Linked DNA regions of Arabidopsis thaliana. The protein of the gene in region 3 binds, or shares a complex with, the protein of the main gene of each other region. Each region holds a gene or a part of one and is shown on either strand. Other genes may lie near its edges. The genes, in order: AT5G20170, AT5G03500, MED19A and MED32.

Region 1 (9,236 bases), 2.9 Mb from region 3:
TGAAGCTGTTAACGATTTGACTGAGGGAAAACTACAACAAAAAGTAATAAAGAAGGCTTGTTATGTCCAAAAGTAGTACTGTCCAGAAGCGGGGCCCATGGGATATGCCTATCAGAGTGGGCTTCCTGTGACCTCTCACACCACCACGTAGGACCTACGAGCCGAGTGCTCAACGGTGGAGAAAGAGAAGGGTCGTTGTCGTTGAGAAGTCTCCGTCTCTCCAGTTTCATTGTATTTGATTCGCATTTAGTGGGTGTGCTTTGTGCAGCCTCATTTTGGAATAGTGAAATTTGACTATAAACATGCGCAAATGAGCCACAACATATTTCAAACTACTTGGTACGCGGTCAATACAAATTCAACCACAATTTGCTCATTTCCTTGGCATGTAATCGATGTGGATATCACTAACCAGAGTTTTCTAAAAGAAAAACATATTGATCCCTAACATATGCTCCAGTGGAAAATGTAAAAACAAATACTCGAGTGTCATAATATATCTCTTTGTTCAGGTCATGCGAGGCACAATCAAACAGGTCTCGAAGGAGCATACGACTGACCAAAGTAAAAGTGGAGAGATATACAATAATGTTTCATAGGAATTGGAAGAAAACTGCGATTACAAATCTGAAGAATAAAAAGGGAAATGCTGACATCCTAATTTCCTTGTTTGAAGAGAATGGATGCAAGACCAGACCTCCATCCGAAATACGCTGTTGGCATAGGCCTTTTGTGTAAAAGTGATGCCAGTCCGGCTGATACCCCCTGACCAGGCAGCCTCACCAACTCCTGACTAGCAATCGGCTCAGCAAACCTGTTTTACAATCCCAAATAACTTTTTAAGTAAGTTACTCTCAACTCTGCGAAGGAAAACAAGTGCACATGCTTCATGCTTCTGTGTGATGTTCCACTATAATGTATTTTAGTAACTGTTCAACAGACTCTAAATAGATCCTCACTTTTCATTCAATGATTCTATAGGACAAAATTTGGGTAGTAAGTGATTCACAGTAGTCAATATACACTGTATTTAACCCGTCCAAAATCCGAATGAGACACCTAATTACTCAAAAGCGAAAACCAGATACAAGATTCACTTACAAAGGGGAAGGTGTAATTCCTTCATAAGCAAAGGAACTGAACCCTTGTCTTTGCTTGTGCTTAGGATTGGAAGAGCATATAACATACACACGTCCACGACGTTTCACTGTTTTACAAAACTCACACATCTTCTTCACAGATGATCTCACCTTCATTGCTTCTCACTCTGCAATTCACAACCGATCATTAACACAAAACTCATTAGATGAAAATGAAAGAGAACTCTTCAAAGTATTCAACTTTAAGATTCAAAACTAAGGATTGTATCCTCTAAACATATCATTTCTACTTAATCTACCAGAAAAACTGCAATCCTTAGTTGATCCGATGATGGAAGCAAAAGTAAAACGAATCTGAAGCATCCATCTCTAACTACACGGAATCACACAAGAGAAAACCCTATAATAGATCCAGATACGAAATCGAGTGATAATCAACGAGAACCCATCAAGCGAAGAACAAAAAAATACCTGCGAATTCAAAGGCGACTACGAAGAAGAGCAATCGATTCCCAAATGCAAATGAAAGGGTTTTACGGAGGAGTTTTGCACAGTCAGAGTACAACATATTTTGGGCTTTTAATGGGCTTTACCCGTAAAAATGATCCGGAATTTTTTTGACCCGGATTATTAGATCTAAATATCCGATTTGGAGCGTTGAAGCGATTTGGCCGGACTGTGTTACCGTCGACCTAGAAAATCTGAATTTTTGACCGGGAAGATTTTTTTCTGTACGATATGGATAGCGACATGGAAATCTCTCTCGACAGGCTTCCCATTAAACGATTGGAATCTATCGAAGAAAATGGCGCCGAGCGTTTTCCTTCGTAAGTGTTGTCTGGTGTTTGAGAAACGAGACAAAATCTTCCCAGATTGTTTTGCTTCTAAATTATTCCTTTTGTTTTTGACGTGTAGTGATGTTGATTACGATGATAAGAGAGTATCGCTGATTCGGAGAATAGACTTCGCGTGGGCGTTGGAAGAGGAAGATGAGCTGAAGAAGAAGAAGCAGAAGAAAAGCTCCAAGGATAGCGTGGAGCAATGGAAATGGAAGGGAATGGTTGAGAATTTGCAATTGGCTCATCAGGAGCTCACTGTCATCATTGACCTTATCGACACAGTGAGTGACTCTTGTTGATAATAGATAAGAATTTTGGGATATTCATAGCTCTTACAGTGTCTGTTTTATTGGTTTGAATGGAAGGAGCTGAAGTTTGGTTTCTGATATTTGAATAGAGAGTAAAACTTAAACAATTTATCTTCTGATTTTATCTTTGAAGGTCCAAGCAAATGATGCAGTAACAGTTGCTGGGATGACCAGACCTAAGCCGATGCCGAATGAGATTCTCTCGGATCTTGCTGTGTCTACTGCTACCAAGCTGCAGGGCTACCGGGTAATCAGTAGCTTACTTTCTTATGTGCAATTTAACTTTGCTTAAAGATGGAAGGATTCTTGTAATTGTTATTAGTTAGGCACTTTTTAGTATCCTGAGAAACTGTTGGAAACATTAACTTGGTTTCGTAAAGAGCTTTTTAACTATATAATTGTCTTTGGATGGTATGCTTATCTCACTTCTGAATATCTGTTTCCTCTGCAGAATTTAGGAAACTACTTTAAACAATCAGCAAAAGCTTTAGAGCAGAAAATCAATCGTGAAGCAAGGTTTTATGGTGCTCTTATCAGGTTCGAGTACTTGCTTTTCATTTAATGTCAGTGGCTATTTTCCTTAGTACTATTTTGCAACTTTTAAGAATTTGTTGTTTGCATTCTTGATACTAGTTTTAGGTAGCTTACAATGTCATAGCTATTTGTGTTGTGCACAGATAATTAGCGTCCGAATTTTGGATGTAGAGTTATTACGCACGTAGGTTTTGTAATATGTTATGACTTATGACTGATAAACGTGAAAGCATTTTATTATTCTTGTCTAATGTGAAAAAGTTCTAAATTTTGACTTCTACACCGTCTCTGTTACTGAACCTGCATAGTACAGTACTTCAGGAACATCCATTTTGTTGTGTAGTGACTGCTTAAGATTATGCCAACACAAATTAGAGAATTTCCGTTGAAATTGCTCATAATTTGTATAAAATGATAAGCTGACTTCAGCTTCCAAAATAGAGATTGATTTATACGTGCAAATGGTTATTTTTGCTATACTAACAAGCTTATAGGTTGCAGCGGAACTGGAAAGTCAAGCGACAACGCATGCTTGCTTCAAATGCCAGCAATGAGGGCTTCACCATTGATCTTTCTGACAGTTCATTATATGATCCGACTTCTGGTTTTCGCCCATCTACACTGTCCACTATTCGTGTAGATCATGATTCAGCTGGTATGCTGGCCATTAATGTACCCCAAGATTCATGGTACTCTCTTCGGTTTGGGTATGTTGGCTTAAATCCGATTGGCAACTCAAACGAATCTGATGAGCACATAGACTCGACTACTGGTCACGATATCCCTGGAACATCAGAGAAGTTGTCTGCAAGTGACGACAAATATGTTAAAGAAACTCATTCGCTACTGAGGGAGGTGCATAAATCAATTTTTGCTGAGCAGGTGGTATTTTTGTCATATATCTTGTAGTACGCTTGGTATATCTCTTCACGACTATTTCTCACTTCTTTGGTCTTCTTACCAGTTGTTTGACATGCTAAATCGTGAAGCATTCAATGAAGGTGTGGGATTCAACATAAGTGGACTACGAGAAAATTTTATGGAAATGAGCATCGGCCAAGGAGCTTCTCTGTTTGTGTCTCTCCACCCATCAGGCAAAAATCCCAGCATCAAGAAGTCGGAATCTGCAACCTTGCTCATTGAATCATCTGGCAGAGTAGAACCAGCAGAAGGAGGAGACTATCGCTTGAAGAAGCTAGGGTTCCCTAATCGCACCAGCTATGAAATATACTTGCAACAAATTTTTCACGAGCATGCCTTTGGAAAAGCTAAAGATCAGCTCAAGTCAAAAAGTATCAGAGCATCCAATCAAACAGAAAAGGACAGCAACTCCGGACTTCTTGACCATTTCTGCTTATCTTTGACTCATAGAATCTTCTCAAATAGAGTTCTTGTGCATCTTGAAAGCGTGGTATTTTCCCTGATGTGCTAAACTTTATTGAATGATCCTTCTCTATCAAGAAACTTGTTGTCATCTTTGATCATGCTTTAAAAAAAATGGTTACTTCCTCATTGAACAGGTCTGCAAGGTCCCGTATCTTCATCTGATATCTCATCCTACATGGAATTCTCGGACATCGTCATGGACTGTCTTCATGACTGTTCCTCCATCAATCATCCCCCAAGGAAGGTCTGAAACCCAGTCTCCTGATGGTAAGAGGAATCTTAAGACGCAGTTCCGGACAAAAGTGGTGGTGAAGGATGATTGTATTAGTGTTGAAGCGGAATGCACGCCCAATGTGGTTGGCTTACTCAAAAGCAGTTCCTGCAATCTATTCTCTATAAACAAATACGAGTGCGACGTGGCCGACCTTCCCGTGATGATTCTCCAACAGGTATGTTCTTTCGTTTCCTAAAGTTGATCATGTCTATAGCAACACGGTCCCTTAAACACGCGGTTTATTTATTTGAGAAGGTGGCGAGCCAGATAGTGTGTTGGCTACTGGAGGAAGCACGGACGGTAGGGACAAAAGCGAGCAGGGAATTTCTGTCACTATCGTTAGAGATAGTGGAAGGGGAGAGAGTGAGCCTGGTGGCGCATGTAAACCCGGAAGACGCAAAAGGATGCATCTCGTGGTGGCTAGTGATGGAGAATGGATGCACAGAGGAGAGGGAAGGAGTGTCGGAGAGTAGGAAGTTGTTGGGTCATTTGTCTCTGGATGTCTTGTACTCTGTTCTCATGGATTTGATCAACTTGTGTGGTACTGGTCGCAATGCTTTAGAGAGATTGTAAATGCTGAAAGACAAGTAGTGAACATGTTTAGTTCTTCAAGATTTGTAGATTACAATGGTTTAGTGAGACTCTAGTGTCTAGCCCAAACATCACTTTTTTGAATAGTTGGAAATGTGGATTTTATGGATTAAGGATTGATGATTATTATAAAACATCTTTATTTCAAATAATATTATCAATTTTTCTTTTTTAAAAAATCTTTGAAATCATAATGACTTTAGTACTTAAAGGAAGAAAGGGGTAGAATTGGAAATATGTAGAGAAAACGAGAATAACTCTGACGCGAACGTTTCTCTCCTCCGTCTCTCGATCCCTCTCTTGACGTCTCGCTGATCTGTTTTGCTAAGATTCAAGCTTCAAAACCCTAATTTCTCTAGCCATTAGCATCGATTTCAGCTCAACTTCAGGTTTGCTGTTCCCTTTTTTTGTATCATCCCATCCACCGATCGATATTTCTCAATTTTCTGATTTGCTGCTCTCTCGAGAGAGAGTCACCGTTATGGAGTTGGATTCACTATATGATCTGATAATTATGAAATTCACAGATGCTTCTATATATAGTAAATCTGATTTATTAGTGACGAATAGATGAACATATTCCCTTGATTATTCTTCTACAAATCTCGGTAGTGATAAATTGTTAGGTTTTGACGATAATTGTACTTGCTCAGTTTTTCATGTGTTTAGTTATGATTCTTCTTGGGCATGTCTGTGTCTTCGAATCGATTCTCATGTGATTCCCATTATTGTTTTTTTTCTTCTGGTTATTTCAGATTCAAGGAAACAATTATTAGCTTCTCAAGTGCTTCAGTGATCCGATACAATGGTAGTTATTGCCTTCTCTGTTCCATTGTTAAATTTTGTTAATTTCAGTGATTTTGAGCTAAGAGTTTTGTTTATCTTTGATAAATTCAGTCAGCTTTGTTCAATTTCCATTCGTTTCTGACGGTGGTGCTGCTTGTGATCTGCACATGCACATATCTGAAGATGCAGTTCCCTGCCATTTTAGAGCAGAAAACTGGGTTTGTACCTTCTTTGTTCTCCTTTTTCGTGAATTTTATTCTCAAAACCGATAACACTAACACATTTGGAGCTTTGACACCGGTTATTGTTTTCAAGCATTGTCTTTTGCCAAATTAAAGATGCTTTGTCAGATTTCTCTGCATATTGTTACTTTAGATTGCAAATGTTACTTCATCCTAGTGCTTTTTTTGTATTTATAGCTTGCATCTAATGCCCTCAGTCATCACTTTGTTCTATGCATATTAATGATAGAAATTGCTTGATTAATTACTATTGCAGGTTTCGAGGATTTTTCTGGAAGGCTGCTAGAATAGGTAGGCCTTTTCACCCCTTTGGAGCTCAGTTATCTCTTGTGATTTCAAAACCTTTCTAAAAACATTGTGTTGAACAATATTTCTTTGCATGTGTTCTATAGAAAGTAGTGATAGGCTTTCTAGGAGCAAGAACTCGTTACTAATCAATGCAGCTACTAACAATTGTACTATAAATTCAACTCATGAATACCAGATTCTAATGCTTTAAAACCCATGGTCGATCTCCTATTTAAGCATATGCATGATGGCATATAGTTAAGTCTATATCCTCCTACTTTTACTGCCATTTGTTTTCCATCGCCGAACATTCTGTTGCTTAACTTTGCTTTGTCATCACTTGTACCAGGTGAGCGTTTGAGCCCTTGGGTCTCCGCTGGATGCTTCATGATGGGTGTGTCGATCATTTTCTTTTGAGTGTCAACTTCTTACATATCCAGTTCTTGTAGATTTTTACTTCTTTGGGATGCTCATTTTTCTGTATGCAAAAGATTCCAAGGGGTTGTTGATGAAACTGAAAGAGTAGAATATTATCCTCTTTGGATTATGGATATGGTCTTGTATTTGGAACAAATTGTGTCTGTTATTTTAATGTGGAGACAAGTCCATAAAGCTCAACCATAGAAATTAGTAGAGCATAAGACACCAGAACCAGCTAATAAAACGCATCTTTGTCGTAAAGGAAGAGAGTAATCACATACGTAACTTCAAGTTTACTAATTTCATTGAACTAATGAGAGCATCAGTTAATAAAAGTTTGTTGTGTGTGTGGTAGCTGTAAAATTATCAGTCAATTTGGATAATCGATCAGTTTTATGCGAGCAAAAAGAACAAAGGTGAAGTCATGGTTACCCTTTTGGGCTTTAATCAAAATTTCGCCGACAAAAGAAGAAACTAAAAAACCAAACTCCCAAAGTCAAAACTAGTTCTGTCGGTTAAGGTTAGTTCACATGGGCCGAAGTATATCATCACCCAGGCCCATTAAAAAGATGTATAAAATCGACAAGCATATAAGTAACAGCGTAAGCCTAAGTTATCATTCAGAATATTCAAGCTGAGAAAGTCGTAGCCTCTAAAACCCTAATCCTCTCTGAAACCCTAGACATCGCAGCTGAAAATGGTACTTCTCTCTTCCTCTTTCTTCTTTTCGGTATTATCTTGCAGTGTTTTCGAAGGAATCTTACTCTTTGATTGTCTGATTTGGGTTTTAATTTGTTTTTGTTTTCGTTTCTTCTTGCAGACCGGAGAAGTCGTCAACCCTAAAGCGTATCCGCTTGCAGATTCTCAGTTATCGATAACAATTCTTGACCTCGTTCAACAAGCTACTAACTACAAGCAGCTCAAGAAGGGTGCTAATGAAGGTATCCGCTTGTTACTCATGTGTGTTTGTCTCTCTTATTTATTGAGTTTAATGTTTGTGAAGTTGTTCCTGATTTATTTAAATTTGTTCATTTCAGCTACGAAGACTCTTAATCGTGGAATCTCCGAGTTTGTTGTCATGGCTGCAGATGCTGAGCCTCTAGAGATTCTTCTTCATCTTCCCCTACTTGCTGAGGATAAGGTTTGACTTCTTCTTTCTCTGGGTTTCTCTTTTATTATACACCAGTTTATTTAGCAAATGAGATATTTGTTTCCTTAGTTCATAGAAGAGAATTAAGTTTACTTGCTGAGGATATAGTTTGATTAGTTTGTGCCAATGTTCAGCCAAGTTTTGTATATCATTTTGTTAACTAAACTCTGATTTCATACTTGTTGGAGTTTAAAATGACAGCTTTATGATTGTCTTTTATGATTTTGTTTAGCTTGTATGTTTTTGATTCTGTAATGCTTTGTTGTTCTTATATACTAGTTTTCTATATTCTTACTTTCTTTGTGAATGTTTTGTAGAATGTTCCTTATGTCTTTGTGCCTTCAAAGCAAGCCTTGGGAAGAGCCTGTGGTGTGACTAGACCTGTTATCGCTTGTTCAGTCACATCTAACGAAGCTAGTCAATTGAAATCACAGATTCAACATCTCAAGGTAACTTAGCCCTCACTTGTGTACTCTCTTTATAACCTTGAACCATCATTGATTCCACAGAATTGGTTAATCATTAACTCTTTTTTTACATTTCTTCAGGATGCTATTGAGAAGCTTCTGATCTAAGGCATTCTCTGAATTGATTGCTCGGTATGATGGGTCTCCGCGAATGGGAAGGCTTTGACTGAAGTTTTGTTTAGGCAACTACCAAATCAAAAACCGTCCATTATTCTACTATCTTCTCTTCAAGTTTGTAACGTAATTCACTTTTCTGCAACTTGGTTTCTTAAGAATTTGTGTTGGTTTCTGGTTTTGGTTTGTAGCGAATCATTGTGTTATTTATAAGAACTTGTTTTGATATCTATCACAAAACGAACAAAAAAATTGAAATAAAAATTGAAGGACTTGAATTGAGATTGAATACGAAATCAATTGGTCTGTTGCATTATGCAAAGTCTTACCTTGAATTGAGATCGAGTCACTAGTATCATTTGCAGTCATCATTTCTTCTTGAAGAGGATTATGAACTTGTATATGTAGTAGTAGAGAACTTGAAATATCTAGCATATGACTTTGGAAAAGAAGAAATCAATAATTAATCTGAAGTGGTATATATTACATCAACTACAACACACCCAACACAGAAACAAAGTTACATTGCAGTTTTGTGTAACCTAAGGACTTATGACCGACCAAAGATGATATCCAGAAACATGATCCTATAGTTTCTTCTGCCTTTTTGTGTACATTGATGATAATGTCTTGTTTAATCTGTTAGCTTCTTCTATTGTATAAAAAAGTGGAATAGAGCGAGTGTGCCTCTGTCTCACTCTCTATTTGGCTTCTTGCTCCAACAATGGAATCTTCTT
Region 2 (7,590 bases), 3.1 Mb from region 3:
TTTCTAGTGAAAAACACATTCGATAATAAAAAAATTCGATAGTATATAGTCGAAGCTAGGGATCAAATCACATCTACTGTATACTTCAACATTGGACTCTCAAAACACGCTTTAGATCCGATTTTTGAACGAGTCTTTGTAGATTATTATAGATGTAGTCTTTTGATTTACTCTAATGAAAATGATATATGTATTATTATATCAGAAAAGAATCTGAAAAAACGAAAAACCCCAAACGGAAGTGAAGTGTATCCAAAGGAGTTAGTGGCGGCTAACAAACGAAGTGACTTTATGCGAAAGTCATCGTCACATGCTTCTTCCGTTCTCCAAGGAACATCCTCAGCATCTTTCATCATTCTCCCAAAGTTAAGTATCACATACTTATATACTATTGTGTATATATTGATGATTATTAGAAATGTGCTAAATTATGGAGCAATGAGTAGTTTCAAAGAATGAAATAATTTGAAGTTAATTCAATCAATGTCAGATTACAAGAATGAATGGACAATAATAAGAGAAGGGTTAATGATTTAACATATCAATGTAATAAAAAAGTAATTACAAAGAACTACTTAATTAGTGATGACAATCAATCAAAGAATTTGACGCGGCCGTGAAGAGAAGAATCTGATCTTTGGATGCAAACGCGAATTTCGGTTTCTCGCAGCATCGTTCATCTTCGGGTGCTGGAAGATTCAGATCTAACTGGAGAAAGTTCTTTGGCCGTATAGATTCTTCATGGTGATGATGACTTGATGATGATATCGCTGTTTTGATTGCTGAAGTAGCGTTTGCGTTTATTGTTAAACCTCTATGTCTCCTCATATGTCCTCCTAAGGCTTGTCCTGAAGAAAACTCGGCCTTGCAGATTGAACATTCATGTGTTTTCTCCGGTTTCTTGCTACCATCACTACTAGTCACTTGTAGGGAAAGAAAGCTTCCTACGGCTCCAGCTTCCACTGTTTCAACCGTAGACGCAGACGCCGTTTTCTTCTCGACGCATTTGAAAACGCTAGCTCCAAGTTTTGGCTTCTTGTGACTAGCCCTGTGCCCTCCTAGCGCTTGGAACGAATGGAAGCTTTTATCACACGTTTTGCACTGGTAAACACCGTCTAGCCCTAACCCTAGAGAAGCCACCGGTTTCTTGTTGCTAAAGAAACCCATTCTCTGCATCGACAAATGATCGTCGCTGCTCTTTGCTTGATGTCCTTGCGACAACAAGATCAGACAATTCGCCATATCTTCGTCTTCATCGGTAGCTCCTTGGAATTCTACTTCACCAGCAGCTTCTTCTTCTCTTACCTCCACTGATGATCGTTCACCGCTACAAACGCTGGATACTGCAGCAGCGTTCATCATAAGAGGAGACGCAGAACGCTGACGTTTGGTGCGTTTGCCCTTGATGAGGAGAACAAGACGCGCGTGGTCTCCACTCTCCTCAAGAACACTTGTCATGATCCTCCGTTTTTTATTTGCTCTCTGTATTTCAAGAACACAAGAGGTCGTATATGTATATATGGAGAGAAGTATCAAAGAGTGTTTGGTGGGTTTGGTTTATATGTCTAAGTATTTATATATATTTGTATGTGATTGTATTTGTTTATACACACAATAGTATTGTGTGTATATATAATGTAATGGGTAAGAGAAAAGATGAGAAAAGAAGCAAACCCAAAATAACTTTTGGTGAAGGATTCCTTTCTGGAAGTTTTGGTTTGCAAGCCTGGAACCACTTGTTGTTCTCTTCTTGTTTTTATTTTTTTCCTTTCAATTTTTTTTAAATGATTTTCTCTTTTTTTGGTTAACTTTTGTTTTGCTTGTCTTATGAATCACATAAAAAAAAATACTAGTATTTTACTTATTAAATACTCATAAGCATCCTTATAATTTCAAAAGACACACATCATTATAGCTAAAGTAACAAAAATGTGGATTCAATGTCAACACTAATCTTAGAAGATGTTATTTTATTTTCTTTCTGAAAATGAAATTAAATCTGTGTTTTCTGTTCAAGAAGGTGTCATTCTACATATACCATTTTTTCTTATTAATAAAATGAACTACAATTTTGACACTTGGAATGTAATGTATTATATTAAGAAGAATCAAACTGGATTGCGTATTCTAAATATGCCACTCAATTTATTGATTTTTTTTCCTTTGATTTCACATTATCACTAACTAAAATCCTAAAACTTTATAAATAATTTTATATTGATGGCTTGAGTCATCCACAAGTAGTTTCAACACGAAACACAGTACCACAACACACACAATTCAAGCATATTATAAATTCCTGCAAACTTATTACGTTTTGTAACAAATTACATTAAAGATTTGAAACCAACTATTATATATAAAAGCTACTAAAGTACAAATTTAACTTGAAAATACGTCGAATTCTGTTTTTGTTTCTTAATACTACTAATCATTGCGGATATATGTACACTTAAGTTGCTGATTAAATAATTAAGTTAATTAATTGGAAAGTAAAAGGCAATCGAATTTTGGGGTCGAGCAGTTCATGTGCAGTTGAGCCAACCCACAATTACACAACACACAATTATGAATCATGATTCTAGTTATGTATACAATATTTAGTTATAATGATATTAGCTAAAACGAATTAAATATATAATATCACTCCCTATGTTTGCGCCTCTTTCTAAGAAACTTTGATTTTTATTTTGGTTATCCAATTATTTGATCAAACCATTATTAATCTTGTGATTAGCTAATAATATGTATTCGATGAAGTAACCTCCCTTATCGTAGTTTGTAACTGTAGTCTAGGTCTTTGTAGTATAGTATACTAATAAACTCGGTGACAGCAATTTATAAAATTCAAGAAACACATGTTTTTTTAATATTCATTCTACATAATGAGTTTCTTAGAGCTGGATTGATATCCAACTTTTACTCATTCAACTCTATACACATTAGTTGTCTTTGGCTCTCAATGATTATCTTTTGCTAACGTGTTACTATACATACAATAGATCATTAAGAAGAATATTTTTGAGTGTATTGTGAAGCTAGTATCATCACAATTTTAAAATGAATAAATCAGGAGGAATTGATTTAAGTCTTGGCGTCGAGGATTGTGTGTGTGAAAGAGAGATAGAGAATTGCTTGGCCGCCAAAAGAAGCCATTACTTGCCAACTAGCTAGCTTCACTACTCAACCTAAGCAAAGCATATACTTTATAAATAAATAAATAAAATCATAAACATAATTAGTCGTCACCCATCATACATTCATCATCACCATCCTAACAAAACCTTTTTTACAAGGCTTCTCAAAAACCGTTAAGTAGTTGTTGCAACTTGCAAGGATCACCTAAACAAATTATACCGAAACTTGCACAATTGAATTCCAATATTTTAAAAACATTTTTCTTTTGTCATTTGAAGCATATAAAATGGTTCTGAATTCTGATATAGGTGGGTGGAACAGAGTCTTCCCCCATATAGCAAATCCCTCAACGGCTCTAGAAATACGTTTTAAGCTTCACGAGGAATAAGAAGATTAGGAATATATGGGCTTAAAGCAGGCCTGAACTAAATTAAAGGCCCAACTAAAAGAGAGGAAACAAATCTCGATTTGCTTTCTCTGGTGAGCGTGTCTTCTTCCGATCGTCTTCTCCGGCTGCGTGAATTCTCCGCCGAGCCATCTCTCTGGCGAATCTCCAGTGAGTTCTATTATTTTCACTCTGTCTTTTATGCTTCCCGTGAAAGGGATTTTTTTATTTCTCTCCCTCAGATTCTCCTTGTCGCCACCAACTCATTCGTCTCCCTACCCATTTGTGGCCACTGGATTTTTTGTATTGACCTTTCTTTTTTCCTCATGAATCAATTGAAATCTACTGTTAAGCATTTGACGATTTTGGACAAATTGGTGGTGATTTAGGAATAACACGGTTGTGGTGGTGGCGGCTACTTCAACGTGACGATGACAGATTAGTTTCTAGTGATGACAGATTAGTTTCTAGTGGTCGCAGAGTTATTTGGTAGTGATGACATAGTTGTATTCTAATGAGAACAGATTGTTTTATGGCGGTAGACGGATTTGTTTTTGATTAGAAACCCTAATTTTAGGAATCTGTTACTGATTTTGCTTAGTTTTTGATTTGGATATGTAGAGAATAATGGCTACAGCTACATATCCACCTCCTCCTCCATATTACAGACTCTACAAGGATTTCTCAGAAAACACTGATTCTGCTCCTGAACCTCCTCCTCCGATTGAAGGCACCTACGTCTGTTTTGGAGGCAACTATACTGTGAGTCTCCTCCACATTTCCCCCTCTTTAAAATCTTCATCTTTATGTGTTTTTAGCAATTTTCAATTTTTTTGGTTAGTAGACTGAAGATGTTCTTCCAAGCTTAGAAGAACAAGGAGTGCCTCAACTTTATCCAAAAGATTCTAATCTTGGTATGTCATTCTCCTAACTCTGTGAAATCAAACTCAAAATGCAATTGCTATTGGCTGTCTAGAGTATGGTTTTTGGTTCTTCCCTTCATTGGAATCAAACTTATTACATGAGTTCATTTGCAAGTTATGTTCTTTGAAAGTACCTCTTTGAGTTCAAATATCTTTGTGTGTAGATTACAAGAAGGAACTCAGGTCACTGAATAGAGAACTACAGTTACATATATTGGAGCTTGCTGATGTTCTTGTTGACAGACCTTCTCAATATGCGAAGAGAATTGGTGAAATTTCTTCAATCTTCAAGAACTTGCATCACCTTCTCAATTCCTTGAGGCCTCACCAAGTAAAGAAGCTCTCATCTTTCGATTAATTACAACATGGTTTCAACACTTTTTGTTTTTTCATCGTTTTGATCTTTCTCTTGTTGTATAGGCGAGAGCAACGCTTATTCACATTATGGAACTTCAAATTCAACAGAGGAAACAAGCTGTGGAAGACATTAAGAGGTTTGTATATGCTACTTAAGTTTTCTGTCTTTATGGTGTGTTAATAATTTAATATCAATCTATCATCTGTTTAAAGATTCTTCAGAAGCTTTGTTGGTTGTTCTTATGGGTCCGTTTGATGTTTTGGTTGTGTGCAGGAGGAGAGAAGAAGCACAAGGACTTCTTAAGGATGCTTTCGTCACTTTAGATGGTCAATAAAGTATACTTTTTGTTAATCCCATTTTGTGTAAATTAGCGCTAATAACCTATGCCCTCGAAACTTTTTTTAATTGATCCTGTGTGTGTGAGAGAGAGAGACAGACGTGTGCAATCTCATGATTCAACAAGTAAAGCCTATATCATCTTTATTCAATGTTACCCGTGAACCGGCATTTAGTTCCGCCGGTTAGTGCGGTTCAACATTTATTATTACAATTTCGGCTTAACGGGAACTATTATAACCATAACGGATTCATAAGAAGATTAGACCAATATGGGCTTAACGCAGGGCTAAACTAAATTGAAGACCCGACAGTTTGTTCGTAACTACACGTAAGTATCTGAACAACAACAACAGCTTTATAAGGGAATCAACAAAAAATAGTTGAACAAAAAAAAATTAACCTTGTTCAAAGCTAAATCCTGTCAAATATCTTTGGAACCCTAGCAGTCGGTCTTGTCAATTTATCATCAGCATGGACGAATCCGCCATCAAAGTAATCTTCTTCTCCTTATGGACTCTCCTCTTACTCACTCTATTTCTCTTCACAAGAGGATGGAGATGAAGATTAAGATGGATATGGACAGGAGAAAGAGGATGGAGATGGAGAATTAGGAGGGAGATGGAGAATTAGGAGGAGACGAACCTCTTTGTTTTTTTATAATGTATTTACCTTTGTTTGTTTTTGTCTTTGCATGTTAAAAGTAAGTAAGCTCAGTAATCATCACCTGCCTTGATCATGTATGATATGTCATTCTCTGGATGTTAGAAAAAAACAGTAGTAAGCTTAATCTATTAACGTTATCTGCTTTCGGTATTACAATGCAACCTTGTTTTCTAATTTTTAACAAAAATGGATCCAAAGCTATCTTTGAAGGTGATTTTAAACAAGTCATTCAGTTGGTCAACGGGAAGAGTCTTAATTTTGGATTCGGGAAGCAAAAGCCTGGCGACATCGGTTTGAAGATATCCAGTTTGTTTGGACTCCAAGATCAAACAATAGTCATTTTATTATCATTTTTATGCTCCACAATTTATTATTGATGCGCTACATTACCAAGTACTACAAGCTTCAACTTATAAAAAAAGAAGAAGATTAGAACCATATGGGCTTAAACGTAGGCCAGAACTAAATTCAAGGCCCAACAGTTTGTTCGTAACTCATACACACGAAATGTCCCAAACCAGAATAAAATTAGGGAATTAACGAAACAAAAAAGACAAAGAAACCTAGTTCAGAACTAAATCCCTAGATCATAGCAGTCGTTCTTGTCAATTTATAACTGATATAGGAATAAGAAAGAGGGTTAAATGGACACGTGGAGGGTGGAGATTAGAAGTTGGTTTAATGGCTGAGATTGTTTGGATGCTAACAGAAGAGAAAAGAAGCGTTAAAAGGAAGCGAAGAGGAAAAATAATCATTCATGAGATTTGTGTTGAATTGTTATCTTCTTCTTCTTCATTTGTCCTCTGTTTCTCTGAGAGTTCTATTTGAATTCTCATAGCTATTTCTTCATTGTGATAGAGCTGTTTCTACTTCTAAGCTTTATCACATGAGATTTGGATTCTCGTTTTATGAACGACGATTCAATGTGTGTTTGTGATTGGATTAATTGAGAAATTGTGGTTTCTCTGTATCAATAACCATGGACGAATCCGCCATCAAAGTAATCTTCTTCCCCTTATGGATTTTCTTCTTACTCACTCTTTGCTTAACCTCTGTTTCTCTATTAATGTTGTTTTCTTTCTCCACAAGTAAGAAGAAAAATATATCAAGTACGCGTAGTAGAATCTCTGATTAGATCTTTTGTTGTACCTTAGGGTATGAAATTGCTGCAATTGAACGAGATTGGTGCAAACTCTCGAAAGCCCCGGTAAATATATTATCTTGGGAATTTTATTTTGGTGGTACGTGCTGAATGATCATATAATAATATTAACTCTCCACCTGCAATCAAAATTGTTGCTAGTATCCCTTGGACGAAGATTTCCGTGGAGGGATATGACACTAGGCTCCGTGAGTATACAGTCAAGCTCGTGTTGGAAAAACATTTCGCTTCATGCGGAAAGATCACACATATTTATGTTCCCAGAGACTTTGAAAGGGGTATCCTCAAGAGGTACCGTACTTTGTGGCTTCGATTTTCCCCAAAAAAATATATAAACTTTGTATCCTTGGTTTTACAGTGTCGCCTTCATGTGTATCAAAGGAGAAGGTGGCGAAGAAAAGGCATTGCTGCTTAGTGGAACTGACGCGGGAGGATGGACTGCAATCGTTAAGCCTGCACTCTGGCAGAAAGAAATCATGGATCCTTGGCTTCCTGGCATGCCCAAACTTGAAACACACAGGTAAATTCTGATAATACTACCTGATCCTTGCAATCAAATTTTTATTAGTTTAGATTCTTGTGTATCTGTAAGACACTTGGCTTGTCATTTTAATTATATTCC
Region 3 (8,605 bases):
CCTGTTATTCAAAACGTTTGCTCTTAAGATCTTTTTTGAAGGATCCAAAGAGTCTTTTTAAAAAGATGTTTTATGTGGTGTGTTCTTGGACAATACAGAAGATTTTAACTTGCTTGCATACATTCGTTGGTCGTTGTAGGCTCTTGAATGGTTGAAATCGTATTATTGGGAGCAACAAAAGTATCAAATCCCCTTAAAGAGAGATGGAACAGCTAGCATCAGAAGAGAAGTCAAATCCAAACTCAGGAAACTTGCTTTCTCCTTGCAGCTGAAGCGTAATCCTCAATTTGACTCCCCTTTGGTCAAAGAAAAATGTAATACTTCTTTTGTATCTTGGATCTTGTGCTGGGGAAGGGCTAGTAAGTAGTAACACCAAGCAAAAAAATGGGAATGATCCCATCGGTGTCTTGCTTGTTTACCTCGATGAAGTTTATAATGACATGATACATTGGTTTTGGCTGCACTAGATTATTTTTCCAGCTTTAGAGATGGAAATAATTTTGGGTTGCATTTTCGTGTTTAACTTCGCATATCTGTTAATTCGTAAGGTCATATAAGGTTATTTTTGTGATTTTCAGGTTCTAATAAAAGGATAAGGAAGATTGTAAGCAGCCTTGTTGAGTTATACCCTTCTTTCTCCGCAGAAATTTCATCTGTGCTCCTTGAATTCTTACTCAAGGCCTTGGATTCTTCAAAGTCGACAGATCTTCAGAATAAGGCTGGGCAAGATTTCAGGGTCTTTCTAGATGAATGGAAACCTGTAATAATGGAACTCTCAAATAGAGAACCTGAGTTACTTTTGACTCTACTCAAGGAAGTCCTTGATATGATCCAAAATAATGAACGGAGAAGACATGAAACCGGTAACTATTGGTTTATCCTAAATGCTTTTTCTCTTAAGGATCCTCAGTTGAAACTTTAAATTGTTTTCAGATCGTTTCTAACATGTATGAATTGTATCTAAATTTGCATCTTACAGAAAAGCCAGTGGAAGAGGTTTCTCAAGTTGAGCAGGTCCCTTTCTTGTTTGCATGGCTTGTGAGTCTTCTCAATGGATCAAAGCATTTTCAGAGAAACAGTTCTCTAGAAGTGAAACCTCCAAGCATTTTCCTTATGGAACTTATACGTAGATGTCTTGTCTTGGGAGCCTTAGGATATGAGCTGGTTTTGAAATCAGCATTTCTACTCGCAGAGATTGTGGGAGGCCGTGTCTTAAAGGAGAAGCTCATAAAACTTCCTCTTATGCATAAAAGCTCTGCAATTGTTCCATTGAAACAGAGTTCTACTCTTGTAACAGCTAGTACAACGCTCCTTGAGCAAGAGAAGAATCTCGGTAATGCAGGCAAGAGACTTGAGTTCGTCAAACTTCAACTCTCAAAGAAGAAAGGTATTGACACAGACAAAACCGGTAACAGATGGAGAAAGGCAAAAACATGGAGCCCTTGTCCAATTGGTATGTTGCCTCGGATCATTGGATCTTCTGGACGTTTACCTCTTCTTGACAATCAGAATGCTAAGAGCATCTCAAAACAAGCACAAGGTAACAACAATGCGAAGAGAGGAGCTGAGTGTAATAGAAATCAATTGGAGAAATCGCCATGCAAGCGAGCAAGGAAGAGTGCAGGAGATTCTGAATCAAATGATGTGACATTGGAATCATACGAGGAAGAAGCTGAGATGGAAATAGAACATGCATATGAGGAAACTGAAACTGTAGCAGAAGAGAATCTGATGTGGAATGATGAAGAGGAAAGTAGAAGCTGCCTTATGATAGATGGTGAATGGAAAAGAGTAAATGATGGAGAACTCTCGGGGATGGCTTCTAGTGTTACAATTTGTGTTTGAGATTTCGACAGATGTAATCATATAATCCGACATATTTTTGAGAAAATAGTTCAGATATTTGATCAATTTTTACAGGCATAGTCGCAGACAGATAGACATTGTGACACTCAAGTAAAAGTAAATAAGTGGATTTGACAGTTACTTTTTCAACAACATCAATTGGTAAGTAAATTATTATACATGAATAGTAACGATTTGTGTTGTATTGAGTATATAGACAGAAAAGAGATGGAATAGAACACCCCAAGAAAAATGTTACAAATCTGACACCAAATCAATTATGATACTAAATTCTTCTTCTTCATTTCACAAATTTCCCCTTTCTTCTTCAAGGAATGAATTCACCAGTTTGGGCTTTTAACCTACAAAGCCAATCATTTTGTTCAACACAACTTGAAAATATAAGAAAGTAACAAAAATGTAAGCAATGATTTGTGTTAGCTGAGACTGTTCTATTTAGAAACACATCCTATCTTTGATATGTTCTTTCGACAGGTTACCCGATTTTCATTAGTTATGTATCACGGCAACTTTCTTAAGACCAGAAAAGAATCCAATACCAATACAGAAGTCGCACAGAGACACATACAATGTTCCCTTGCAAATGTTGCGTTATTTGGATTTCAGTAACTTAAAGAATACAACACAAAACTCAAGTATCTGCCTAAAAATATTATGGGTTCAGTTCCCCTAAAGTATAGTATCTGGACTATAACAGATGTATATGTTCTATGAAGGATCCCGGAATACCAAGAACACCGAAAAAATTGTACAAAAGAGACAGGACAGTACACAGATGCTTACCTAATAAGCTGTCTACAGTGAGTTGAAAAGTGCTTCTAAAGTCTCCATGACACCTACTCGAGTGCAGAATACAAAATTGGAATGTCTACAACTTTTTTAGCCAGCAACCCTTATTGCACCCACCTCATCAAGCTTTGAGCTTTTATGCTGCAACAGGTTCAATCAAGAGCTGAATCAATACAATTTATCAAAGACATATTACTAGTTCTCTAGCACCTTTGTGCAAAAAAAACATTATGGTGGAAATTTCATGTTGAGTGTTAATGAAGAACGAGAAAAATTTGAGGCCCCACTTCATTACCATTACCTTGTTTTTTTTGTGCCTCTGAACGTCATTAAGATCTTCATCTCCATCGTGTTTCCTTTTCTGAAATATAAGTGAAAAGGCTCCATAAAAACTCAATAAAATGTTCTAGAGCAGTCTCTAGATCTGCTAATTTCATGCCAAGCAGGTCAAAAAAGCAGCCTAACTCAAGAGCAACAAATACAAAACTTTCCATTAAGCTATTCTTCTTTGGAAAGACAGACACCTTCAACAAACAGACATGTTCTTTACCTTATCATGATGTTTCTTAGAATGATCACCCGAATCATGGTGGCCATTTTTGTCCTTCTTTCTGTCTCGGTCCTTGTCTTTATCTTTATCTTTGCTTCTATCTTTATGTTTGTGCTTGTGCTTCTTATGCTCTCTATCTTTGTCTTTATCCCTGTCCTTGTGTTTCTTATGTTTCCTGTCCCTATCTTTCGACTCACTTTTTGACTTAGACGGAATTGTAGGAGCTCCCTTCTCTGCCTGAAAGAAGAATAGTACCAAGGTCAATCATCTCCATAGGACACCCAGATGTAATTCACATTACTAGGGAAAGATTCTCAATTAACCAAAGAACTTGATGTTACAGGAAATAGGACATTCATTACTGAGCCAGTTTTTAAGTTCAATGTAATGGCAAATACTGTTACTCTTATGAAAAGAAGGACATTTAAAACTCAAAACACCAAGAGAGAGTGAGAAAGATCAGATTCTTACTGGGGGTAATTCAACAGGAGTCATATCATTTAGTTGGAAAGACTCCTGAAGCTCATCTATATCAAAAGGCTGGATGCGAATATTAGTCTCCCGGCTCTGTGATATGCTCTCAATAAGCTGATCTAATTGCATTCCTTCTCCTTTTCTGATCTCTGTGTCCCCAACCACATTATGAAGATAATGGGAATCTGATAAAGAAACAGGAAGAGATTTCTTGCAAAAGAATTCATGGTGTTGCACTAGTTTGAATTGAGATATAAGATCCGCAGCACCGCACAACTCTCTTGGACCTGCACTTGAAACAAACAACACATTGACCTCAAGGTGAGCCAAAGGGGAAAACAAAGGACAACGAGCTACAAAAAAAATAACTTCACGAACTGAAGAAGCTCCAAATTCGAAACCAATGTACCTCCAAATTTTAAACGTTCAGGCTCCATCTTCTCTATCGCACTCTGAATTTCTTTTGCATGATCACTGGCTCACTGCATATATATCCTACACAAGGAAACAAAAATCAGAAAAAGCATAGAGTGATAAGGAAATAATACTACTACAGAAAGCAAATTCAGCTTCGATACTATCTAAACTAACAATTCTGTAGCACAAACAATACAAAAGTTATAACTAAGCACCAGCTCATATTTCATAGTGACCAAAACTAAGAAGTAAGAAAATCTAATTTAGCATTAGATGCTATCAATTCTCAACTTTTCTGCTCCAAGCTCAAAAAAAATGAAACTAGCATCAGAAACAAAACCCTAGAAAGTTTTCGGAAGTTTGTAAAAGTAAAATTAGATACCAAGTCCATACATTTTGGATCTAGTCAACAAGAAAGTTTCATCAATTTGTTCTATTTAGGAATGAAGCTAACAAAAAAAAAATCAGACAAGCGAAGTAATCACTAGAAACGAAGATTAGACTCGATAAAAAAGCTTCAAGCAGAAGAGAAATTCGAAATTGAGGAATTTGGAATTCGAAAACGAAACAAGACAGAGCCCAATAGCAAAACCAAAATCTCAGATTCAATTGGTAGGAGAAAGAATCGAAACAATCAACATACACGTTTCTTTCGACAAGCCCAGATCTCGTTTGAGAAAGCTAGCTAACGAAAGCAGCGAAACGTGAGGGGGGAAGTGTTTGGGTCTTGGGCTTGGGTATCGAATTCCCGCCTAAAATTTTGATTTTAGCAAGTGATCGAGAAAGGACAGAGATCGAAGAAGGTTCGAGAGAGCGAAAAAGCGAGACTAGTTAGGGTTTGAGAGTCTTTTGTGTCTGATGACCAATGAGAGAGGAATTATTCTCTGTTTTCTTCCGTTGGCTTCTCTCTCAATATAATCAACAAATTACAGTCAGCCTTTTTTTATTATTATTCAAGGGCTCCGCGTGGGCTTCACGCGCTCCTTCAACACGGCCCACTTAACCAGACAAATCAAGGATCTTCCATTAGCTAAACCGTATTCGAACCGAGTAATGAATCTCTCTTTAACCGGTGGTACTCTTATCCAAACAAAAATATCCACGACTATTTATATCCGATTTAGATTGTTATCTCTTTCTATATTTTTTATTTACTTGAGTGAAAAACATGAATTGTTATTCTAAAAAACCATTATAAGACCGAAAATTATCAAAACATAAATAATGTAAGTTTTCAGTGTTTTGGGTTGGTCGGACAGGTCTAATCCGATCGAGACATGCCTAACAATATCTTCTACAATTTAAGATGAAACATACGATGAATACATACGTGTATATTTGCTGATATAACATCAGAGACAAAGTGCTTGACGAGAACAAAATGGAATAATGGTATTTTTGGGGATTTGAGTTTGTATACCTGCTCTCTACTATGTAAATGATGATTTGTCTGCTGTAAAATAAATGGGAATATAATATATAAAAACGTGATGACTGATGAGGATATATTGAGGTACATATCACATATGGTGTTTCTTGACAAATATTGGACGTAAGTCTTTGTTTTTTCTTCTATAAACTTTCAGCTTGATTTCTTAAAAACATTTGTTGCACAAGTTGTAAATACGTTTATCGAAGGTAGAAGATGCATATTGGAGAATCATATCCATATATGTATCATGTATGTAATTTAGTTCTTGTGATACTGTTTTCTTTATTCTCTTTCTTAACTCATAATAAAGTAAAATTAAAAAAAAAAAAGTAATCTTAGAAAGACTAAAAAACGAGAAGCAAATATAGATATACAACATTTATATAAAATGGAGAGGAAGAAGATTCAAGTGGTAAGTGGATTTTTTCATGTGTGTGAGTGAGTGTAAATGTGGGTGAAGAAAAAGGGAGTGAAGACAACATCATTTTCCCCAAAGAAAGCTAAGTCTTAGAATCATCACTCCAATTCCCTTTTTGGCCCCTTCTTCTCTCTTTTCTATTTCTTTCTACTTTTGACCCCCTTCACATAATTACCTTCCTCTATATGCTTTATTATCACACCCTCATTACTCTCTAAAACTAACCACTATAAGTATATTATTAACCACACTAATTACTACCACTTGACCTAGTAATCCCAGCTAAGACCTTTGGAAATGATTCAACACACAAAAAAAACTTTCGTTAAAAATTAATGATATATATATTTACAAACCTCTATCTAGTTTCTCTTCTCTTTATTTGTAGAAAGTGGTGGAGAATAAGAAAGGGAGAGCAACAAACTTTTAGAGGAAGTCATAGGTTAAAAGCCCCATAGCTTTTTCTTCCATCACTTTCATTCCTCTCTTCTCATTCTTACAGACTTTGAGAGAGAATTTATTTAAGAGATCTTGATCAGATCTTTTATACTTGCAAAAATCGATTCTAAATATATAATCTATACCTTATAGAGAAACTCTTCATATCTTGAAGATTCCTAAGAGATGGGAAATTACTACTCTAGAAGAAAATCTAGGAAACACATCACTACAGTTGCCTTGATCATCCTTCTTCTTCTTTTGTTTCTGTTTCTTTACGCTAAAGCTTCATCGTCTTCTCCTAATATACATCATCACTCAACTCATGGAAGCTTGAAGAAATCTGGAAATTTGGATCCAAAGCTTCATGATCTTGACTCCAATGCTGCGTCATCAAGAGGATCAAAATATACTAATTATGAAGGTGGTGGTGAAGATGTTTTTGAAGATGGCAAGAGAAGGGTCTTCACAGGTCCTAATCCATTGCACAATAGATAAATTTTTGCTTTTACAAGTTTTTGTGAATTTTTGTCTGAATAAAACTCATTTGTGCAAACACAAAAAACATATTTATTTACTTTTTTTCTTACACTGATGATATACACTATATCGTACGTTATATGCCGTGATTGTAACTTATGTGTTCTATGTGGTGGGATGAGATTGAAGAGTGTTGAACAACGAGTCTTTGAAAATAGTAACTACTGCTTCTCGGTTTTCTTGATTTAATAGTGTATCGATAACACGCATAATTATCTTTTGGAACCCTTGTTTTTGAATATGAAGCTGGTGGAATTCGTGTGGTGTGTGTGAATATCTTGATAATGATAAATGAACATCATTGTTAATGCCAAATGAAAAAAAAAAAAAACAAGAATGAACATCATTGTTAAATTGAAAGAACTATAAAGCTAGTCTATTACAGAGTTGGATGTGAAAGATGTAAGATTATTACAGGCTATTTCATGCTTACGATATTGAATAAAATTGGTTTGAATAGCATTTTATTAGTCTAACAAAAGCTGTAAAAAGAGAATCATTGAGATGGGAAAACCTATTTGACACTAAATCACTTACACTAACAAACCACATTTGTAACAAAAGTAAATTGCAAACATACTTAATGTTAACTTCATCTGGAACAGACGAATAATTTGGTACTCTACTGTATAATCTTATTTACCTCGAATCATTGACTGAGTTTTACTATGAGTATACAATTTACTAGGTGTGGGAAAATGTAAGAAACAGTAACGAGAGAACTGTCGGAAAATTGGTGATAAAATGCAGGGCCAATAATGAGATTTTTCGACATAAAATTAAAAAGCTAAAAACAAGAAGTTAACATTTATAGATACCAAAAACATTTATAGATACCAAAATCAATAACAATTCCGATTGAAATATGGAGCCTTTGAGAAAGACTTGAAATCATAACTAGACGAACACGAGAAGATAATTTTTGCGCACTCATAAATTCATAATTACGATAAAGAAAAAGACAAGACTTGGAAGTGTCTCCACATTAACAAACTTTTGGAAGCACATCATATAGAAGACAGAAGTTTAAGAGTTTAGTAAATATCGCTTTGCAGCTTCTGGATCCAATTCTTCATACACCTGAAACCAAAACAAATGACAAAAAAAATGTCCCGAGCATTAGTAGCTATCTGCAATAAATGTCTTAAGAAGAAAATGTACAACACATACAAGTTTCTTGTGGAGTTTCTCGAAAGCCTTGCAAAATCTCTCTGCTTCAACCCCACCAACCTGCAAGAATGTGATGTTCATTAAGGAGTAGAAGAACAACTTCATATATGTAGAACATTTCAGTATATGTAGTAGAATCAGAGATGAAACAAGAATCAATTCTTTCAGTGTACAAGTTTCTAAGTTGACAAGTAAGAACAAACAAGATTTCGATCTCCATTCTCTGGCAAATCTCTTATTCACAATTGCACATCAGATGCAATGACTACGGGGAGACATTTTCTACTAAAATTATGAGCTACAACTCTATTGGTGAAAATTAGCTTATAAATCTCATTCAATAACTAGAAACGTCTGAACAAAATTACCTTCTTCTCAGCAGCCGCTTTCAGATTTTCCCAAAATTTGTCTGTCAGAAGAAGATAACAGACAATGCACATGTTCAATGATATGGGAAAGGAGCAAAAGGAAATTTTACTCAGAATAATCACAAAACCGCTTGATTCTACAA
Region 4 (6,974 bases), on a different chromosome or scaffold from region 3:
CCAGTCAAGCAACATAAAATAATTAGGGGTGGGTGGCTCAATCAAATTCATAGGTGGAAACATTTGGAGTAAAGATTTGAGACTCAAAAGGCAAAAAGGTGACTCAGTCCAGCTCAGAGGTAGAAACTTTAGTATCTAAACTGTGTGTGTGAGAAGAGCATATAAAGTAGTGGGAGATGAGAGACTTACCATAGTTTTGGTGGACTCCTGTGAACTTGTGAATTGCCTTCAAAAGGGAACCATATCTCATATACTTCAAAGTTCCCATATGTCTATCAACAAACAAATACCGAGAAAAAAGACAAACTCTATGAGATTTAGCTCTAAAGATATAAGAGAAAAAGAGTTAAAAGCACGTACACTATCTCAGTGTATCGAAGTCTCCAAGCAGGGAAACCGAGGTGGCTCCTTATAGGTCCATAAACCAGTAACAGATCGGGTACATGCACATTCTCACCTGCCATAGTATTGATGATCAGATTCTTGGAAATAAACTTAATAATGACTTGAATCCAATATGAGAGAGTCAACACAAACCAACAACTCTTAATGCGTCATTCAAATGAGACTCTGTAAAAAAGTCTTCCCCTTTGTCGTCCTCAGGATGGCTGGATTTCAAGTATCTCTGAAGAAGTATGTTGGCTGCTTTCATAACAGCTTCTTTATTGTCTGAAGATGAAATGAATTCTAATGCAATGCGCTTTCCGTCAGGCGCAACATCCTTTTCAATCTCCTGGGAAAGAAAAACAAAAACATTGACAAGGTAAAGTTTATATCATGAGCTACATAACTAACAACATAAGCTAAAGATTTGATTCACAAGTAAAGCAGCAAACTAAATGAAAGGTATGAGATTAATATACCTCTAACAACATGGAACCTGGAACGGTTTCAAGGATCAAATCCTTGGATTTCTTCAATAAACCTAAAGAAGCCAACATCAGCAATCATTTAATGAACGTGAAAAAACGAGATAAGTAGCTAAAGCATGTACCTTGAGAGTCAAATAGACCAACTTGTTTAACCCCAATGGTGGTTAGCCATTGCAAAAGCTCAACAACATTGGCAACATCTTGAGCTGCTTCGATGTCCACTACAACAGCTAGACACCGGAGTTTCTCAAGATCGATGGAACCGTACTTTTTATTCAATCCTAACGTTATGGCATAGCTTTCTATTGCCTCAAATATGCCAGAGACAATGTACCATAAGCTCACAACAATGTGTATAAAACGCCATAGCAAATTAAGACCAAGATCACCAATCTGTGGAATACAAAAATTCAACAGAAACAAAGTTATGGCTTGAAGACTCAAATTGGCAACACCAAATTGTTCTTAAACACTTAATTCCATAGGCCTTGTTGAAGCATTAATGAGCTAAAGCCTGTCAATGATCAAGGAATACAAAAAAAAATCTCACTTGACCAATCCAAGCACTGAGGAGCCGCATCGATTGATTCGAATCCATATATCTGAAAAATCAGAAAACACACAACAGAATCAGAAGAAATTTGAACAAAAGGGTTGTCAGAAATCAGAATTAACAAAGAGAAGAGAGACGTACACAAAAAGTGACTGTCTCCGTAAACAACGAAGGTGTTTGCTGCGTGTGTTAGGGAGATGTTTCCAAACCAACCAATCGAACTTTCCTAAAACCCAAAATTCCTTTTCATCGGAATCGGAAAAGGAAGAATCTTTGGAGGCGAGGTTAGAAAAAGTGAGACACTTTTGAAGATGATCTTATTAGCCTCTGTATCCTGGTTTTGGCGATTCGTTTGCTTAAACCTTAGCAAAAAATCACTCTAGTTTGCGAAACTAACTCTGTTATCTGAGAGGAGTGTGAGACGTCTCGGGTTCAAACCCTATAACTTAAGTCTTAAGTGTGTTTCTAACTTTTCTTGTCACGGTTTTGTTGTGAGTGTTCATGTTTTTGTTACGTTTATCACGATTTTGCTGTGAACGTGAGGTAATCAAAACTCAAAATTATACTAGTTCGTTTACATTTTTAAACTCTTGATAATCATGGTTAATACAAAACCAAAAACACATCATGTACAAGATCAAAATTAGTATTCTTTTTGAAACAACAGAAACATAATAACATATGAAGAATCACACAAAAAAAGAACAGCTTCTTTACTTGAGATTCAGAATAAAAAGCCCAATATTTAGTAAGAGTCATAAGTCCTAAATGATACCCCCAGTGTTGCTTCTAGCTTGGCTCAATCCCATGAAATAACAGAACATAACACTGATTAGGCCACTCTTCCCATCACAACGACTGACTCGAGAGTTATGGAGCTGCGGTTGTCGAACTTAACACTAACTAGGCACGCTATTGAGTCGAGTCTTCAGAGAATCTAGAATCAAACCCGGTAGAGGATGAATGAACAGAACCAGGAGCTACACCAGAGCCACGTTGCAGCTCAAGAACAAGCCATCGAACCGCTCTACTCATCTGTTCAAGCCTTACTGCACTAATGGGAGGGAGACTAGTCGCAGCACCAGTCACCGCTGCTGGTGCTTGGCCACCTGCTGCAGTAGTAGTTAAACCAGTAGCCTCATCAACTAAACACTCAGATCCAATTCTCTGCTTAACTGACTCCACAAACTCCTCTGCTTGATCACAAGCCACACGGAACAGTTCCCATTTCTCCTTGAAATTCTCCAACGCAGTATCAGTGAGCAAAGCTTTTTGTCCACCTGCACTCTCTTTAGACTCAAGAACACCAGCTGAAGCAAGAACAAACTTCTCATAAGCTTTGTTCAATGAGTCCACAATGTTATCCATTTGATCCCTCCCCTTCAAATAACTGCTCAAACCAAGTATCAATCATGAGATTTCAAGTTAAACAAGAAAAAACTGCAAAAGGAATCAAGTAAGATCCCAGCAAAAGTATCTGGAAATAAGAAACCCTAAAAACCTCAAAAAATCTTAATTCGTTCTCGTTAACGCTACACATAGAATGAGAGAACTCAAAACCTCAGGGAAAGAATAAGATGCTACGGTAGCAATGGAAGCTAAATGATCAAAAAGATTACATCTTTGAGACAGAAATTTAACGAAATTGCAAAACTCGCGATTGCTTTCGCAAACCTAGGGTTCAAATTCACGGCATAGAATCCGTAAACTCGTGAAGGAATTGAATCATTAGAGCAGTTTTAGACAGAATCTAAAAAAATCAGCCCAAAACCGCCGGAGATAAAGAGGAGAAACTTACCGGCGATGAACGGAGAGTCCGATTTGTGTCACTTTCTTTCTTCTTCTTCTTCATTGTAATAGTCTGGTTAGGTTTATATGGTAAAAATTGAAATTAAGATTGGTTAATACAAACCGGACCGACATAAACCGGATTGGTCATTTGGATTTTTTTTTTAATGTTAAAATTCCATATACATACAATTTAATTTCTCATCTTTTAAATATGTGTGTTTAATGTTATAAAATAAAACATCTAATCGAAATCAAGACGATTTTAATCAACTTTAGTGTTAATATAATAATAAAGTTATCACAATTAAACGATAGATATGTATATACTAATCGAATTATTTATCTGTTTGTAACGAATTGGCAGAATATAATAGGTAGTATTTGGTAAATGTATCACGTCAAATTACTGTCCGTGTTGAAAACAAATGTTCTTTGGAAATATTTACTCAAAGATCTAAATCCATATATTGTTCTCCACTCAACCATCCATATCTATTGTTGTGTTTGAAACGATTTGATACCGCAAATCATTAATAGAAAATACTAATAATAAGAGAGCAATATATAATAAGAACGTAAATTCAAAAATAGCATACATATATGTCTATATATACAATACCGTAAATAAAAAATTACTCCGATGACAAAACCTCTAAGCATCTAGAAAGAAAAAATGAAAAATACTTCAATCTTTCTAGTTGTCTTTGCCCTATGCATGATTAGCAATGCATATGGCCATTCGAATCCATTTAAAGGAAAAAAGACGTCGTTGTTATTCAGGAACAGTCTTTCTCACAACAAATGGCTCAAGGTACGTTGTAAATCTGGGGACAATGATGTTCGTGAAAGATATATGAAACCTGGAGAAGATTGGGGTTTTAGTTTCCACGATGACGTTATGGGAGAAACACTTTTCTGGTGTACAATGTATAAAGGAGCTGATTACAAGGTACAAAAGAAGTTTGACGCATATGTTCAAGACAAGAGAATGCCTCATGGTGGCTCGTATAATTATGTTGCTCAAGAAGATGGGATCTATCACAGTACTTTGATACACCGTATGCGGAAGATGTATGATTGGAATTAGGGATGTTGGATAAAACTCTCCTATGTTTATCCAATATTTATAAAATGCTTATTCAAATCTTTGATTTGATATAGTTGTAAAGTATTATTATTACTCTTTGTTTTCATGTAAGAATCACTCTTTACATTCAAAGAAAAGTGTAAGGGAGAAGTTTCAGAATGATTCAAAGAAGGACAATTTGTTTATGTGCATGTTATCCTCATGTCAATTTAAGGAATTCGTCAAGAACAAAAAATAACATGCCATTATTAAAAAAACATTACGTTTGCGCCACAAGCTCTTGACATTGCTTAATTACTTGTTCTCGCCTTTGTTCGAAGTGTTTTTGTTTGTAAGATCATATATCAGCTATACATCCTCCTTGCATTTATTATAGTGCCTAGATTTTTTTTTTTTTTTTTTTGACATTCAGTGCCTAGAATTTTGGTTTATGTAGATAGAAAAGTGACACTCGACGCAAATTCGAAAGAATGCCACCGAAAAAAATGGAACGAATGATGTTTCGCTATGTTGGATGCTTCAGATCCCATATAACAACACTACTCTCAAAATTCATAAACTCTCAAAACATATTAATTTAGTAGCATCACGAAAATACATGTTGTTCTCAAATCATTACAATAACTTCTACTCTTATTAGCTGAAAAGTATAACCTTATGTTTTTGTAAAAAGATTGCTAAACGTTATATTTGTATATCTTTTCAGTTTGTTAATGTCATTAGAACGAAGTGTAAAATCGCTTCAAGATTTGTTATTCTAAATGTATTTTAGAACAAATATTCTGAACATTAAATTATTTTCAACAAAATTTATTTTGAATAACAAATAACTTGTCATGGTCGTAACTCTTTTTTTTCATTCTCTAGATTGAATCAAAAATAATTTTGTTTTGTAGTATAAAACATTTTTGGTCTTTTATTCACCGTTTTATAGAACATTAATATCTCAAGTTCTAATATGAAAACAAAAATAACTGATCCCTCAAAAAAAAGGAAGATAAAGGTTGAAAGACATGTTATTCTCTTCCCAAAACAACCTAATCCAATACCTCTAAAAATTTATCTTTCTCACAATGCCTTCAAACAAATTGTGTTCTTTCTATAGTTAACTTGACTATATTAAAATCTCTAAAGTTAACTTGACTTCTGAAACTTGTGATCTTTCTATAGTTAACTTGACTATATTAAAATCTTGAGCAATTAAACCATTAAAAAAAAAAAAAACAGGAGAAACCTTGACCAATACAACAAATCCTAAAAATGGCCAACGATAAGAATCACAACAGAAATTTAAAGACTACATGTAACTATTTATACTACAGAAAACACCAAATAGAATCCAATCAAAAAAAAAAAAATGAAGATCTTTTGTTTAATTCTCTTCTTAATCTCCTCCTTCATCTCTACTTCTCTTGCCGTCGAACCTCCGCCTGAAACAATCTACCAAAACTTTCTCCAATGTTTCACAAACCAAACAAAAGCTCCTCCTAACTCATTAGCCGACGTCGTTTTACCAAAAACCGCTGCCGCTTTCACCCCCGTCTTACGCGCTTACATCCGTAACGCGCGTTTCAACACCACAGCGACTCCGAAACCCGCGATCGTAATCGCGGCGCGTTCCGAGAGTCACGTCCAAGCTGCCGTCATCTGCACGAAATCGCTAAACATCCAACTGAAAACTCGAAGCGGTGGTCATGACTACGAAGGTGTTTCCTACATCTCTCACGTTCCTTTCTTCGTCCTCGACATGTCAAATCTCCGTAACATCACCGTCGACCCCGCCACAGAGTCTGCATGGGTCGGTGCCGGTGCAACACTCGGTGAAGTTTACTACAGGATTTGGGAAAAAACCAAAAGTCATGGATTCCCCGCCGGAGTTTGTCCCACGGTTGGAGCCGGAGGTCACATTAGCGGTGGTGGCTACGGAAACATGATCCGAAAATACGGACTCTCCGTTGATTACGTCACCGACGCCAAAATCGTTGATGTTAATGGACAGGTTCTTGATCGGAAAGGAATGGGAGAAGACATGTTTTGGGCCATTAACGGTGGAGGCGGTGCTAGCTTCGGTGTTATCCTAGCTTTCAAGATCAAACTCGTCCCTGTTCCACCGACCGTAACCGTTTTCAGAGTAGAGAAAAACTTAGTCGAAAATGCTACTGAAATGGTTCATAAATGGCAATTTGTTGCACCCAAGACCGATCCAGGTCTATTCATGAGGCTATTGTTGCAGCCGGTGACTAGGAATAAAATGCAAACGGTTCGAGCATCGGTTGTGGCTCTCTTCTTGGGGGACCAAAACACTGTTATGTCTATGCTAACCAAAGAATTCCCGGAGCTTGGTTTGAAGAAGGAGAACTGCACGGAGATGACTTGGATACAGTCGGTGATGTGGTGGGCAAACAACGATAACGCTACGCAGATTAAACCGGAGATTCTACTGGACCGAAACCCTGATATGGCGACTTTCGGGAAAAGGAAATCTGATTTCGTTGAGAAAGAGATCACTAAAGATGGTTTAGATTTCTTGTTCAAGAAAATGATTGAAGTTGGGAAGATAGGGTTAGTGTTTAATCCTTACGGAGGGATAATGAGTACGGTGGCTACAACGAAGACACCATTCCCACATAGGAAGAAGCTTTACAAAATCCAGCATTCGATGAACTGGAAA

The links.
Region 1: MED19A (region 3) and AT5G20170 share a complex: the UniProt entries of both Arabidopsis thaliana proteins name them as parts of the mediator complex.
Region 2: MED19A (region 3) and AT5G03500 share a complex: the UniProt entries of both Arabidopsis thaliana proteins name them as parts of the mediator complex.
Region 4: MED19A (region 3) and MED32 share a complex: the UniProt entries of both Arabidopsis thaliana proteins name them as parts of the mediator complex.

Annotation. Positions count from the first base shown.
Region 1 is NC_003076.8:6,803,332-6,812,567, reverse strand, and holds AT5G20170 (RNA polymerase II transcription mediator), read left to right. Parts: upstream 1-1,648; 5' UTR 1,649-1,838; coding exon 1,839-1,927; intron 1,928-2,015; coding exon 2,016-2,220; intron 2,221-2,380; coding exon 2,381-2,494; intron 2,495-2,698; coding exon 2,699-2,784; intron 2,785-3,275; coding exon 3,276-3,663; intron 3,664-3,745; coding exon 3,746-4,192; intron 4,193-4,301; coding exon 4,302-4,616; intron 4,617-4,696; coding exon 4,697-5,014; 3' UTR 5,015-5,193; downstream 5,194-9,236. Other genes in the region: AT5G20180 (Ribosomal protein L36), read right to left, coding at 658-814, 1,102-1,256; AT5G20165 (kish-A-like protein), read left to right, coding at 5,838-5,840, 5,930-6,036, 6,134-6,202, 6,317-6,351, 6,545-6,606; AT5G20160 (Ribosomal protein L7Ae/L30e/S12e/Gadd45 family protein), read left to right, coding at 7,466-7,468, 7,589-7,909, 8,236-8,367, 8,467-8,493; SPX1 (SPX domain-containing protein 1), read right to left, coding at 9,201-9,236. UniProt on the Arabidopsis thaliana protein: Component of the Mediator complex, a coactivator involved in the regulated transcription of nearly all RNA polymerase II-dependent genes.
Region 2 is NC_003076.8:874,221-881,810, reverse strand, and holds AT5G03500 (Mediator complex, subunit Med7), read left to right. Parts: upstream 1-3,435; 5' UTR 3,436-4,037; coding exon 4,038-4,061; exon of another isoform or gene 4,062-4,144; coding exon 4,145-4,285; intron 4,286-4,367; coding exon 4,368-4,437; intron 4,438-4,610; coding exon 4,611-4,777; intron 4,778-4,866; coding exon 4,867-4,940; intron 4,941-5,077; coding exon 5,078-5,138; 3' UTR 5,139-5,371; downstream 5,372-7,590. Other genes in the region: AT5G03510 (C2H2-type zinc finger family protein), read right to left, coding at 580-1,458; AT5G03495 (RNA-binding (RRM/RBD/RNP motifs) family protein), read left to right, coding at 6,786-6,806, 6,961-7,013, 7,110-7,259, 7,327-7,488. UniProt on the Arabidopsis thaliana protein: Component of the Mediator complex, a coactivator involved in the regulated transcription of nearly all RNA polymerase II-dependent genes.
Region 3 is NC_003076.8:3,951,170-3,959,774, forward strand, and holds MED19A (mediator of RNA polymerase II transcription subunit 19a-like protein), read right to left. Parts: upstream 5,017-8,605; 5' UTR 4,740-5,016; intron 4,175-4,739; 5' UTR 4,117-4,174; coding exon 4,089-4,116; intron 3,967-4,088; coding exon 3,677-3,966; intron 3,443-3,676; coding exon 3,206-3,442; intron 3,017-3,205; coding exon 2,957-3,016; intron 2,797-2,956; coding exon 2,746-2,796; 3' UTR 2,650-2,745; intron 2,208-2,649; 3' UTR 1,971-2,207; downstream 1-1,970. Other genes in the region: AT5G12220 (las1-like family protein), read left to right, coding at 140-314, 579-863, 980-1,845; CLE22 (CLAVATA3/ESR-RELATED 22), read left to right, coding at 6,571-6,882; AT5G12236 (uncharacterized protein), read left to right, coding at 6,979-7,113; AT5G12240 (octanoyltransferase), read right to left, coding at 7,951-8,004, 8,095-8,154, 8,463-8,503. UniProt on the Arabidopsis thaliana protein: Component of the Mediator complex, a coactivator involved in the regulated transcription of nearly all RNA polymerase II-dependent genes.
Region 4 is NC_003070.9:3,970,019-3,976,992, forward strand, and holds MED32 (mediator of RNA polymerase II transcription subunit-like protein), read right to left. Parts: upstream 3,277-6,974; 5' UTR 3,224-3,276; intron 2,816-3,223; 5' UTR 2,794-2,815; coding exon 2,338-2,793; 3' UTR 1,968-2,337; downstream 1-1,967. Other genes in the region: LEW1 (Undecaprenyl pyrophosphate synthetase family protein), read right to left, coding at 190-272, 361-457, 538-733, 864-925, 995-1,265, 1,423-1,470; AT1G11765 (Plant self-incompatibility protein S1 family), read left to right, coding at 3,890-4,303; AT1G11770 (FAD-binding Berberine family protein), read left to right, coding at 5,661-6,974. UniProt on the Arabidopsis thaliana protein: Component of the Mediator complex, a coactivator involved in the regulated transcription of nearly all RNA polymerase II-dependent genes.